3 linked regions of the Saccharomyces cerevisiae S288C genome follow. The gene in region 3 interacts genetically with the main gene of each other region. Each region holds a gene or a part of one and is shown on either strand. Other genes may lie near its edges.

The links.
Region 1: mutations in ELM1 (region 3) and VPS4 together harm fitness more than expected from each alone (negative genetic interaction), as found in Saccharomyces cerevisiae (5 studies listed by BioGRID, with this or other methods).
Region 2: mutations in ELM1 (region 3) and MIH1 together harm fitness more than expected from each alone (negative genetic interaction), as found in Saccharomyces cerevisiae (6 studies listed by BioGRID, with this or other methods).

The regions. Positions count from the first base shown.
Region 1 is NC_001148.4:885,509-890,058, reverse strand, and holds VPS4 (AAA family ATPase VPS4), read left to right. Parts: upstream 1-2,221; coding exon 2,222-3,535; downstream 3,536-4,550. Other genes in the region: DPB2 (DNA polymerase epsilon noncatalytic subunit), read right to left, coding at 1-1,085; CSA1 (Csa1p), read left to right, coding at 1,351-2,016; YPR172W (pyridoxal 5'-phosphate synthase), read right to left, coding at 3,661-4,263; BSP1 (Bsp1p), read right to left, coding at 4,501-4,550. UniProt on the Saccharomyces cerevisiae protein: Involved in the transport of biosynthetic membrane proteins from the prevacuolar/endosomal compartment to the vacuole. Required for multivesicular body (MVB) protein sorting.
Region 2 is NC_001145.3:340,841-345,492, reverse strand, and holds MIH1 (putative tyrosine protein phosphatase MIH1), read left to right. Parts: upstream 1-1,972; coding exon 1,973-3,637; downstream 3,638-4,652. Other genes in the region: stress-responsive transcriptional activator MSN2, read left to right, coding at 1-1,090; IMP2 (endopeptidase catalytic subunit), read right to left, coding at 3,818-4,351.
Region 3 is NC_001143.9:345,918-351,128, forward strand, and holds ELM1 (serine/threonine protein kinase ELM1), read right to left. Parts: upstream 3,220-5,211; coding exon 1,297-3,219; downstream 1-1,296. Other genes in the region: centromeric DNA-binding histone H3-like protein CSE4, read right to left, coding at 158-847; ANR2 (Anr2p), read left to right, coding at 3,546-5,096. UniProt on the Saccharomyces cerevisiae protein: Important role in G1 events required for bud emergence and septin organization. Coordinates cell growth and cell division at G2/M, essential for efficient cytokinesis and for regulation of SWE1.

The DNA.
Region 1 (4,550 bases), on a different chromosome or scaffold from region 3:
AGATTACCTATCGTTTCTAATGTAATTTCTCTTCTCTCACCAGGGGGTAAAGTCATGGAGGTAACATGGAATTTATTTCCTACAGAATAGTATATTCCTTCCACAAGAACCATGCAACCTGGCACGTAGTAATGGCCTTGTGTAGGGATAGTTTGGGAAATGTCAATTTCGACAGATCCAGACGGATCTTCCAGTGACCAATTGCCCTTAAAGTTCTTATTTAAGAGCCCCAATAGTAGAAAGTTTTGAGCATCCCTACCTAGTAGGTTTTTTATTGGGGTGATACTCATACTGCTGGATTGCTGCTGTCGGTTAGTATTGGACAGTTCATTTTGTAAAGACACCATAGATGATAATGGATTAAACATGTCACTGTTTTGGAAGTTTTCATTTCTCATGACTCTGTCGTTCGTGAGGTAATATCTTGTCAAGAACATTTGAACTTTGTCCTCTATATCTGGTAGAAAACCCGCAATGCCTCCTAGCCCATTCTGCTTTTTATTGGGGACGAAAATAAATTGCATTTTGTGCGGATTGTATGAGAATCTTTGTTGCTGAGAAGCATTGATAACTTTGAAGTAGTCCCTCCAGTCCAACGCCTTGGAGCTTTCTGGCTTGAAAGGCTGTTTATATTCATCTCTTTCGGTGGGCTGTCGCATGGGTGAAGATAATGAAACATTTTGTAAGGATGAATCAGCAGCGATCGGCATTTCATCGTCACTGTTGTTCTCATCGTCATCTGTCCGTCCCAAGATATTCTCCTCATGTTGAATAGGGTGTTCATGACTCCATTCGACTTTCTCACGTTCTTTCATCTCCTGTATAACTTCTTTAACCCCGCTCTGGTCGATGAAAAGGCCTCTTTCTTGTTGTTTCCATACTGCAGCAAATTGCTCGAGAAATTTTATTGTAGCAGGCCCTTGTCTCCAGTTAGCACCTATATTAGTGCCAACGAATTCTGCAAGAGCAGACAGTCCATCAGATTTAATTGATAAACCATATTTTCTTGATAAAACTCTATACGCCAGTGGCCTAAGCAGCGGAGGCTGAATTTTAACAGGCAGAACATTCCCAGAGCCAAACATTTCACACATAGACGCTTCTAGTTCCACTTACAAACTTTAAAGGCATAAACAAGTCATCTCAACTTTATTGTAACATGTGTTAAAGATGCCCAGTTGAAATATTTTTCTATTATGTCACGCGAAAAATAACGCGTCACATCACTTTTGTTCCTTTTGTCGTTTTTCTTCTTTTAGATTCCATCTTGAAAAGAGATGAAATGGACAAAGTAACATAATTTAGACCCAACAAAGTAAAAAGAAGGTTGGGTTGGCATTGAAGATCACAATGGGAATTCAGGAAAAGACATTGGGGATACGAAAAGAGCGCAAATTGGTGGTTGTGCCTCGCGAAAGAAATCATGTTAGACACGCTTCACAAAGGACACGTTCTAAAAACTACAAGAATATCTCCAAAAAGAGGGCTCAACAACACGCGTTTGGATTCAATATTGCTAAGACTCTTGCCAAGATCCAAGCGTTTGTATGGGGGTCTCCCGCAGATGAGGAAGAAGAAAGCGTTGTCCCATTGTCTAAAAATTCTCAGGATTGTGTGCCTCTACAATGGCAAGCAAAGTTTGCGCAATTGCGGCAGCAGCTGCACTCTACACAAAAGGAACTACAATTTGTCAAGGAAAAGTGTCATCTGTTGCAGTCGGTGTTGGACGACGCAAACATCGATCAAAGATACCTGGAGTCTCGTCGAGACATGAAAAATATTGAGCGAGACAACCTCAAACCGACAGAAAATTTACCACCTTCGCCAGTAAGAGCAGTAAACCCGTTAGTGACTTCAAGTCCGATTCACATGTCGCCACTCCAGTCGCGCCAACGACCAGTTTCTTCCCTACAGCCCCCAAAGGGCCCCAACTTCTACGCCAAGTATCCTAAGCTTCCTCAAACGAACATTCTCAGAGAATCTCCGACTGAGGATTCGGTTCCGCACGCTGAATAGAAACACAACACGTCATGGTTGTTCTTTCTGTACATCTATTTATTCTTGCTTGATGATATTTATTGTATTGCTTTACGGGTACCCCCGCTGGGTGAAAAAAAAAAAAAAATAAGAACTTCATGATATCGAACGATTTAATCGTGGGTTGAGGACATGGAAGACAAAAATAAAGCAGCATAGAGTGCCTATAGTAGATGGGGTACAAATGAGCACGGGAGATTTTTTAACTAAGGGAATAGAACTGGTTCAAAAGGCCATTGACCTGGACACAGCCACGCAGTATGAGGAGGCGTATACAGCATACTATAACGGATTAGATTATTTGATGTTGGCTTTGAAATACGAGAAAAACCCTAAGTCGAAGGATTTGATAAGAGCGAAGTTTACAGAGTATCTAAACCGTGCAGAGCAGTTGAAAAAGCACTTGGAAAGTGAAGAGGCAAACGCGGCAAAGAAATCTCCTAGCGCTGGTAGTGGTTCCAACGGTGGTAATAAGAAAATCTCTCAGGAAGAGGGTGAGGATAATGGTGGAGAAGACAACAAAAAGCTAAGAGGTGCCTTATCGAGTGCTATTTTGTCTGAGAAGCCCAATGTTAAGTGGGAAGACGTGGCTGGACTGGAAGGAGCCAAAGAGGCCCTTAAAGAAGCCGTTATTTTACCTGTCAAGTTCCCACATTTGTTCAAAGGTAACCGTAAGCCCACTTCGGGAATCTTATTGTACGGACCACCAGGTACAGGTAAATCATATTTGGCAAAAGCAGTGGCCACCGAGGCCAATTCTACCTTTTTCAGTGTTAGTTCCAGTGATTTGGTTTCTAAGTGGATGGGTGAATCTGAAAAACTTGTCAAACAGTTATTTGCGATGGCAAGAGAAAATAAACCTTCTATTATTTTTATAGATGAAGTGGATGCGCTAACAGGTACCAGAGGAGAAGGAGAGAGCGAAGCAAGTAGAAGAATTAAAACAGAATTATTGGTACAAATGAATGGTGTTGGGAATGACTCCCAAGGTGTTTTGGTCCTTGGCGCAACAAATATCCCATGGCAACTGGACAGTGCCATCAGGAGAAGATTTGAAAGAAGAATATATATACCATTACCAGATTTGGCGGCAAGAACCACCATGTTCGAGATTAACGTCGGCGACACTCCATGCGTATTGACCAAGGAAGATTATAGAACTTTAGGTGCAATGACTGAAGGTTATTCCGGGAGTGATATTGCTGTAGTGGTGAAAGATGCGCTAATGCAACCGATAAGAAAAATTCAAAGCGCGACACATTTCAAAGATGTCTCTACGGAGGACGACGAAACAAGAAAACTAACACCATGCTCTCCAGGTGATGATGGCGCCATCGAGATGAGTTGGACGGATATTGAAGCTGATGAATTAAAAGAACCAGATCTCACCATAAAGGATTTCTTAAAGGCTATCAAATCGACGAGACCTACCGTGAATGAGGATGACTTGCTGAAGCAAGAACAGTTCACTAGAGATTTTGGTCAAGAAGGTAACTAGTCAATTGATTAACGTGCTAATGTAGATTTCTTGTGTACATGAAAATAAAAAATAAAAAAAAAAAAAAAACAGAATAATTAAATACAGAATCGTATGCAAAATAGATAAAGAAAAGCAGAGGACAGTTAACTCTTCCCTTTACTTAGAAACATTGTTCTGTTCTCATTATTGGATACCCTAGCATTATCAATTCTAACTTTAACAACGGCGGTGTTCTTTTCAAATATAAAAGCTTTCGCATCAGGATTAGCCTTTAGTATTAAATCTTTATAGTACTTGGATTCTTCACTTTCAGGATTGACAATTTCGGTTTCGCCACCAATAGATGCGCTCATTTGGTTCAATTCGGCTTGATTTAACTCCTGTAACAAATTTAAAAGCTCGCTTTGACGTTGCTCTTCATGAGGAATAGAAGTCGGCGTCGGAGTCCCAGAGATGCTTTCCTTGCCCACTGACAAATTATTCGCGATGATCCAATCGTGAAACAACAGGGCGACCTTAGGGTTCTCCTTGATGTTGTAAAACTTTTGTGTGTCCTGAGGAGAAACAAATATAATGTAGTCATTCTTATTATCTGTTTGACCGAACAGTTTTTCACCTGGCACATAGATATAGTTCATCAATGCCACTGAAGGGATGCAGTCTTTAGAACAGGTGGCCACGTGAACATATTTGGAGTTTTTGATCAGGTTCAGTAGATGCGCTGGTAATGTACTAGTCCAAGCCATAATTGAGATGTTTCAGGGTTTGAATAGCCTGTAATTTTACTGCTATTTTCTAATAAGGGAGGAAAAGTGTAGCAAAAAGATCGATGATTTATATTCCTTCAGGTTCATAAGGGGAGCAAATGTCAAAGCGCAAACGTGGGAAGTGACGATAATACATGTATCCCATTAAATTATCATATTATTGTTACATCATATGTACGTACATACATGTGTAAAATACGGAGGTCTACTCTGTAGTTACACGCGTGTTGGAAGTTTTCTTCTGGGACCACGAGTCCTATTTTTAT
Region 2 (4,652 bases), on a different chromosome or scaffold from region 3:
CACTACTATGAACGCAAATGCAGACTCAAATATTGCTGGCAACCCGAAAAACAATGACGCTACCATAGACAATGAGTTGACACAGATTCTTAACGAATATAATATGAACTTCAACGATAATTTGGGCACATCCACTTCTGGCAAGAACAAATCTGCTTGCCCAAGTTCTTTTGATGCCAATGCTATGACAAAGATAAATCCAAGTCAGCAATTACAGCAACAGCTAAACCGAGTTCAACACAAGCAGCTCACCTCGTCACATAATAACAGTAGCACTAACATGAAATCCTTCAACAGCGATCTTTATTCAAGAAGGCAAAGAGCTTCTTTACCCATAATCGATGATTCACTAAGCTACGACCTGGTTAATAAGCAGGATGAAGACCCCAAGAACGATATGCTGCCGAATTCAAATTTGAGTTCATCTCAACAATTTATCAAACCGTCTATGATTCTTTCAGACAATGCGTCCGTTATTGCGAAAGTGGCGACTACAGGCTTGAGTAATGATATGCCATTTTTGACAGAGGAAGGTGAACAAAATGCTAATTCTACTCCAAATTTCGATCTTTCCATCACTCAAATGAATATGGCTCCATTATCGCCTGCATCATCATCCTCCACGTCTCTTGCAACAAATCATTTCTATCACCATTTCCCACAGCAGGGTCACCATACCATGAACTCTAAAATCGGTTCTTCCCTTCGGAGGCGGAAGTCTGCTGTGCCTTTGATGGGTACGGTGCCGCTTACAAATCAACAAAATAATATAAGCAGTAGTAGTGTCAACTCAACTGGCAATGGTGCTGGGGTTACGAAGGAAAGAAGGCCAAGTTACAGGAGAAAATCAATGACACCGTCCAGAAGATCAAGTGTCGTAATAGAATCAACAAAGGAACTCGAGGAGAAACCGTTCCACTGTCACATTTGTCCCAAGAGCTTTAAGCGCAGCGAACATTTGAAAAGGCATGTGAGATCTGTTCACTCTAACGAACGACCATTTGCTTGTCACATATGCGATAAGAAATTTAGTAGAAGCGATAATTTGTCGCAACACATCAAGACTCATAAAAAACATGGAGACATTTAATAGACCCCATTTTTTTAATTCGATAGATCTTTCTTCATAAGATAATTCTGTTCAATGACTTATGAAGCTTACGGCTTATTGTTATTATTATCATGATTCTTTGCCATTTTTCCGGTACCTTCACATTTTGAAGGAATTCAGTTCCCCCGCCTGTAACAACTTAGATACACGTAGATAAAAATTAATATAGCCAAAATATTTGGTATGATAGGGTATAGTATAATATAATTAATACAATATAATATAATATAGTACAGTACAGTATAATATTGTATAATATCATATGGCACCGTAATATCATATATATATCCGTACAGTTTAATGAATTCCGTGCGCATTATGCTGTGCAATATGCCTGTCAGTTTGAAAATCGAAGATACCACATCGTACAAAAGCAAGAGGGGTGCCCCTAATGGGAGAAGATTACCGTTTTTATTTTGGGGTAGCTAACTGCGCCACAAATAGTATCTACCAGTTTGCTACTTTTAGAACTGTATTATGTATCTTTGCCGAATACTTAATTTCCTAGGCCTCATTTTCAGGACTAAGGATGAAGAGGGGCTTCAATGTTTTATATGGCGCTTTTTCTGTCCATTGTATACGTCAAAAAAGCATAGATACTCCACTTATTAGCGGTAAAGCCCTTTTTGATACATTGTTCCGGCGTTTAAATATTCTCATTATGATATTTCCCCAACAGTTACACTCTGTTATTTCCTTCTTTTTTATGCTTTATCTGTTTTTTCCCTGTTTCGATGCCGTATATCAGAAAACTTAAAGTTACAAGCGAAAACAAAGAAAAGAGAGTTAACTTGAAAGGAGACAAAAGATAAACAGAGCAGTGGACAAACCAGGATTGAAGTCAGCGAGGGTGAAGAAACCATGAACAATATATTTCATGGAACTGAAGATGAATGTGCCAATGAAGACGTTCTTAGTTTCCAAAAAATTTCCTTGAAAAGTCCCTTTGGTAAGAAGAAGAACATATTTAGAAATGTTCAGACCTTCTTTAAGTCAAAAAGCAAACATTCGAATGTCGACGATGATTTAATCAATAAAGAGAATCTTGCCTTTGATAAATCTCCATTGTTAACAAATCACAGGAGTAAGGAAATTGATGGTCCTTCACCGAATATAAAGCAGCTTGGCCATCGCGATGAGTTAGATGAAAATGAAAATGAAAATGATGATATAGTCTTAAGCATGCATTTTGCTTCTCAAACCTTACAAAGTCCAACAAGAAACTCATCAAGAAGATCTTTGACCAATAATAGGGATAATGATCTTTTAAGTAGAATCAAGTATCCTGGCAGTCCCCAGAGGTCGAGCTCTTTTTCAAGGTCAAGGTCCTTGTCGAGAAAGCCAAGCATGAATAGCAGTAGCAATTCAAGCAGGAGGGTGCAACGGCAAGATGGGAAAATTCCGAGGTCATCGAGAAAAAGTTCACAGAAATTTTCTAACATTACTCAGAATACTTTGAACTTCACGTCTGCGTCATCCAGTCCACTAGCTCCTAATTCGGTAGGGGTGAAATGTTTTGAATCATGCCTAGCCAAAACACAGATACCATATTATTATGACGATCGTAACTCAAATGACTTTTTCCCTCGAATTTCTCCAGAAACGTTGAAAAATATTCTGCAGAATAATATGTGCGAGTCATTTTATAATTCATGTCGTATTATAGATTGTCGGTTTGAATACGAATATACTGGCGGCCACATAATAAACTCCGTTAACATACACTCGAGAGATGAGTTAGAGTACGAATTTATCCATAAAGTTTTGCATAGCGATACTAGCAACAACAACACTCTACCAACTCTTTTAATTATCCATTGCGAATTTAGTTCCCACCGGGGACCTTCATTGGCCTCTCATTTGAGAAATTGTGATCGTATAATAAATCAGGATCATTATCCCAAATTATTCTATCCCGACATATTGATATTGGATGGCGGATACAAAGCTGTTTTTGACAATTTTCCTGAACTATGTTATCCACGTCAGTACGTGGGAATGAACTCACAAGAAAATTTGCTGAATTGTGAACAAGAAATGGATAAGTTTAGGAGAGAATCTAAAAGATTTGCTACTAAAAATAATTCTTTTAGAAAACTAGCTTCCCCTTCAAATCCTAACTTCTTTTATAGAGATAGCCATCAATCTTCAACAACAATGGCATCTTCTGCACTATCGTTCAGGTTTGAGCCGCCTCCGAAGCTGTCATTAAACCACAGAAGAGTCTCTAGTGGTTCATCATTAAATTCAAGTGAGAGTACAGGCGACGAAAATTTCTTCCCCATCTTAAGTAAGTCGTCTATGAGTAGTAACAGTAACCTAAGCACTTCACATATGCTACTAATGGACGGACTGGATACCCCATCATATTTTAGTTTCGAAGATGAGAGAGGCAATCATCAGCAAGTAAGTGGAGATGAAGAGCAAGACGGAGATTTTACTTTCGTTGGTTCCGACCGAGAAGATTTACCCAGGCCCGCAAGAAGATCGTTATTCCCTTCTCTAGAGACTGAAGATAAAAAATGATACTACATGTGCATGAAGTATTATGAAAAAAAGAAGTATATATTCAGGAACCGAACGGCAACAACATCAATACATAAATCACAATCATCTATATTTATTGCATTAGATTAATCACATAATATAAAAAATTTGCATTTGAATACCGGGGTCACTTCTAAATTCATAAAAATAAGCTGATTTTCATTCTAAAATGGCTCTTTTGCTAATGCAGTCTCTACCGGTACTCAGTTTGAGATCCGTTCCCCACCTGGAGGGTGGCCAAACAATTGTTATAGCTTTCCCTATGACCAACCCACTGGAAATGGGGCCAAAAGTATTGCTATCAATCGAATGAAAATAATTGTCCCCTTCGACCCATATGTGTCCCCTGGGCAGGTTCACTTGAGGTTTAGGGTATGGAAACTTCGTGTCAATGGTATCAAACGGTAAACCTTTAACCCTTTTGCAGTAAACTTTCCGAGGGTTTGTAGGAGCTTTGAAAAGGATAATGTCATCTCTAGATAAATTACTTGGGTTCTTGACTCCAAACTTCCAAAGCAGCACCCAATCTGTTGCCAGCGTTTCCGTTTGCGGGTTCAGCGTAGGCTGCATAGAGGTACCTTTAACTTGCGCAATATGGACCACATTATTATTGATTGTTAGAAGTACCGGAACCCATGAAATTGCTATTAGTGTGTTTCGTAAGAATCTTTTTGATGATCCGGCTCGAAACATTACTGTACAGTACAATGCAACAGCTTCATGAATAGCAGCACGCCTTCGTTAACAAGCACCCATCTAGTCATTCAATTAAGGCACTTGTTTTTTCCATTTTTTTCAGTAGCTCGGAACTTAGCCTCGCTCTCCTTCCGAGCTTGATCTTCCACAGTATTTCGATGACATTGGTCTACCCGTAAGTCTGAGCTCCAACGAACAGCCAGAAGCTAAGAAAGCATAAAAAAGAACCGAACCACTTTAAAATCTAGCAAATTTTAACCTTCAATTATATAAAGAGAGATTTATAGCTTTTTATTGC
Region 3 (5,211 bases):
GAAAAAAAAACTGTCAACAGCGGAGAGCACTTGTCGAACCGAAAGGTATGCTAATATGACCTTATAATAACCTTATTTAAAACATTTAAAGTACCTTAAGTCAATATAAACCCCGAAAAAGGGAAAAATCGGCTCCAGCCCTGAAGCACAAATATCACTAAATAAACTGTCCCCTGATTCTTCTTGCTAGTTGCATGTCTTTCTTCATTATAGTAATTCTTTTTGCATGCAGCGCCAAGAGGTTTGTATGTTCCAATAATCCTACCAGATACGCTTCGCTTGCTTCCTGTAACGCCATAATCGCCATTGACTGCCAACGTAAATCCTGATCTTTAGTTGTAAACTCGTCTGTAACTTCTTTCACTAGCCTTGCAAATGGAATTTTGGAGATTAATAAATCCGTGGAACGTTGGTATTTTCGAATTTCGTACAGAGCTAATTCACTAGGAGTATATTTCTTTTCGACGCGCTTTAAGCTCTGCTTTCTTTGTTTTTCCCTCCTTTTCTGTCTAACATATCTGTCTAAGGCATATGAATGAGTTCGCACTGGTGCAGGTACTTCAGTTTCCATTTCAGCTTCTTCTTCATTTTCTGTCTCGATTTCTAGATTACCTGCTTGGTCTTCGTAGTCTGTTTCGATATCTAGGTCACTTTTTGAGCTTTCATAACGTCTTCTTTCCTCTCTTCTTGGAAACAGGTTCTTTGTCGCTCTTGTTCTCTGCAATAACGATAACGCACGATCGTTAATAGATTGTTGGTCTCCTGCAAGCCTGTTGACGTTACTGAGTGATCTTCCACTCGAATCACTTTGAATAGCAGAACTAACCCATTGTTGTTTACTTGACATGATTATGTTATATTAGTATTCTTTCTATATTCAGTCCTTCTTCTGTTTTTTATAAAGTAAATTCTCAAGATTATCTACTACTGTTTTTAAGAGATGTTTTCTCAATATTTATCGATGAAGTTTTGTTTTTCTTTTGTTTTCAATTTACTTCCGCGATTTCGCGACACAGTGGGATCAAGATAAATCATATCGTTCGATATTCTCGCAATAGAAGACCACTAAACTCTCAATTGATAAATGTTGATGTCGATTTCAATTATCAATGATGGTATATTATGAATATTATCTTTAGTGTTATTAATACAAATGCAAATGTGGGTAATTTGCCGTTTCTATATATATATTTATGTATTTACCATAACCAAGTAAATCAATTAATAATCATATTTCACATCGGCTATACGATTATCAGCTAACCCAATCCGACAGATATCATCCTGTAGTTTCATCTATATTTGACCATTATCTGCAAAGTTCAGATACGTTTTTACATCTTCTACTGTTTCTCGAATGTCACTATCTTCCGAATTTATGTATGCTTTAAAGTTGAGAATATTACTTGAATGAGCAAGCTTTCTAGCCCCTGAATTGTTAACCGTGCGCTTTCCAACAGTCCTATCCATTAGTGGGGAACTCGGTTTGTCCTGTGAGCAATTAATATGGGTTCTGTTCCCGTTCTCTTTAGGGGAACTCTTTAGTCTTATCATGGCTTTGATAGGTGTTGGGATTTTCAATGACGAATGAGAGGATGACTCGCTTCTGTCAGTTTTCATGTCCGAATTCTGCTTATCATTATTCACAGTCAAATTAGGTAAGCTTTCATTTGACCTACAAAAAGTATCTAAGAAATCCGTAACCTGAATGGCTTCCTCCCCTAACGATGAACAATAATCGCTCGAGTCTGGCGAAGATCTAAGGACCGTAGTCGAAAAACATTCTTTATCCGGTTCCTCGTCGATATGTATCGAAGGTGTTACTTTACTAGTTGCAGATACCAATACCTTGTCTTTCCCTTTTCCTGAGGTCTTTTTCTTTCCTTTTTTAGTCAGTAGCCTACCAAAAAATCTTCTTACAGGACCTTCGTTTCTTACGGGGTTCACACTGGACGATGAAATTTGACTGTGATTCCTAGAATCTATGGGCTGGTCACGCGACAAAACCTTTACTAAATCCTGAATACTTATGCGTAAAGTAACGTCTTTCTCCAATAACCTTTTAATGACTAAATCGTTTAAAGTATTACCATTTATTTTGGAACTCAATGATACTTCGATGATTTTGTGGTAGGTTTCGAATTCATTTTCCCCGAAAAATGGCAGCTCGTTGTACAGTAAGCAGTATAGTGTCACTCCCAATGACCAAATATCCAACTTAAAGCCATCCGTCACAAAATCTCTTTTGGAATTGCCCAAATGACATAGCTCTGGTGCAATAAATGCCGGAGTACCAACAATTTTGTTCAATTCCCTCTGAAAACAATCTTCAAAATTAGCATCGCTGAAAGGTAATGATTGGGGAGTGAAAATACAACTTCCAAAATCAGAAAGTTTCGCTACTTTTTCTTCTTCATCCAATAAAATATTGGACGGTTTGATATCACGATGAATACAACCCTGAGAATGCAAATATTCCAACCCTTTTGTCATATCCTCCAGGATTTTTTTGGCAAATGTAGAAACACTACAATTTGAAATCACAATTTTTTTCCATTGCGGTAAAATATCTTCATCATCGTCACGTTTCCACTGTAGTTCACCAAGGCTGCACCAATTAGTGACTATCCAGATAGATTCGCTGAAAGGAGAGTCCAAGCATTCTATTAGTCGCACAATATGAACATTATTTCGAAGTCTTGAAGCCGCAAAAATTTCCCACCTACATTTTTCGATATTCATAAGTCTCATAGCCTCATTACCACTCATATTTGTCGTTATTTTTCCTTTACTCTTCCAAAGCTGGATTTGCCTCATTACTTGATTTACTGAATATTGCTGGGCATTCCAAGGTTTTTTTGGTATAATCTTGACAGCAACAACCTTGCCTAAAGTAGAACTGTACGCTTTTCGTACATAACCAAATTGTCCACTTCCTGCAGAGACTCCTAGCGTATATTGGTTTATAGTTTTCTTATCTTGGTCACTAACAGTTATTTTTTTCACATATGGTCGAATTTCATCCAGGATCGTGTGTATATTTTCTCCTATAATTGTACTATAGGTTGGTTTCTGTTGAGAAAAAGAAGAACCAAATGAAGATGTCTGGCTCGTAGGCGTTATCGGGGGACTATCTAACTCATCCTCTCTTATGCACGATTGCTGGGATAATGGTGCCCATTCCGGAATTAATGTCGGTATAAGCTGTCGAGGTGACATTTCATGCTAAGTAATTATTGTTAACCTGGCGTTCAAAAAATAATATCTATGCGAGTAAGTTTGTAACACCTAAAGAAGTATCATCGGGGGGTTTTCAAGGCCAAATTAGTTCATAGGACTAGAGACTGTTGCATTGTTTATTTGTTGCTACCTCATCATTCACAAATTATACGTTTAAAGTGATGTAAAATCATGCTATATACTAATTTGGCATAACCTCTGTTGAGCGGCATCATTTAATGATTTACTTCTATTTTAATAATTACTTCATTTCGAACAACTTAATAGCTACTTCAAGAAGGATCAAGTAAGTTCCTCGAAGCACTATGAATTCCGGAGGTGAAGAACCAACTATAAAGCCAAATGTATTTAATATTACTCAACTTTTAAACTCAAATGGTGAAAAACCGGGAATTGCTTGCATCTTCTTAAGTAAATTTGACATGAAAAAGGGAAATATCATAATATGGTCTAAAAGTATTAATGGTGCGGCAATTGACTTAAGCAATATTGAATTTAAATCGTTACCAGCCGGTATTCACGAACAAACTGACGATGTTGTCAATTTTGTAGTTCCTAAAGAATTAGATGTCTGTCAAACTGCCAAGACGACAACTTATGATTACGGCATCGCCTATTTCAAACAAAATTCGTTCGATATTATTGAGAATGACAATCGTATTGATAGGAGTAAAGTTCAAATGTTTTCTCTTGGTGTAATTATCGATGTCCAAAATGCCTCATCAGATAGTAAAAAGCACTTTTATAAGGAAATATACCATGCGTATGCTGCCAACAGATACTCAAGCTATCTAGAAAGTTTACTCGGTCAATGGATAAGGCAGCGTGATCTTGATAAGTTTGATATTTTTGAAAAGTTTTTTGACGAGAATAACCAAGGGCACATGGCTGAAAATTCAGTAGAAGTCTTTGAACATTCACCCAAAGAAAGACGGCATTTGGTTGAATATTTGCCATACTGGACAAGGAAGTTAGGGCCTCTCATATTTCCACTTTGGAAAGCAAGTCTCCTTCAGTCAAGGATATTGATACTAGTTCCTCAAGGAGAATCGTTCGAATTGTGCAATTCTTTGGCCTATTGTGTCTTCTTAATATCAATGCTTCCAAAAAACTTGATAGGAAACCATGTAAGCGATGAATATATTAAGCCTATTTTCACGGTATCAACATCAGATATTCCTTTTCTAGAGTCGTTCAAAAAGGGGAACGGTTATGTGGCTACGACCAGCGAGGAAATTTTGTTGTATAAGCCTGAAATTTACGACATAGTAGTCAAACTTACTTCGAGCTCAACTATAGAAGAATCACCAGAAAAAGAAGTGGAAATTCTTACCGCATCTGGTGAACAAAACAAAGCAACTCCTCTTGACTTAGAGGTGTATGAAAAACTTATACTGGGGGAGTTACAAGAGGATGCCTCTACAAATGCGACATGTCGACATCATGAGGTGACAGAACCCATATCATGGCTACAGTTTTTAATTGATGGGTTTTTTCTTTTAACTACTGCAGGCTATCTGGTAGCGCCATATCACCTTGCAAATAATTTCAAGATTCCGAGGCACGTTTCTGGCCCAGAACCCAACAATTCAGAAATACAGATCGCTGAAAATTTAGTTCGCTATTTTCACCGCAGAACATCAAATCTGTACAACGATCTGAAGGATGTCATACAAAAAAGTGAAAATATTGATTCAGAACAACCGATTACTATCGCAGCTTCATTTTTAACCAAGTTAAATTTGGATTGCTTTAGCAAACAAGATCATCAATTCGTCAAGGATATCGCCCTTAAATGGTTCCAAAGAAGCATTGATATTAGCAACCTACCAGAATGTTTGGGAAATCTCTGTTAACCACTAGAAACGAGCTAGATCATGTGAGAGAGATAGTATATGTCTTTGTAACTGTATTTTATATTTATATGTATATGGTGAATTTTACTTAAATTCCTTGGTAGATTACATACAC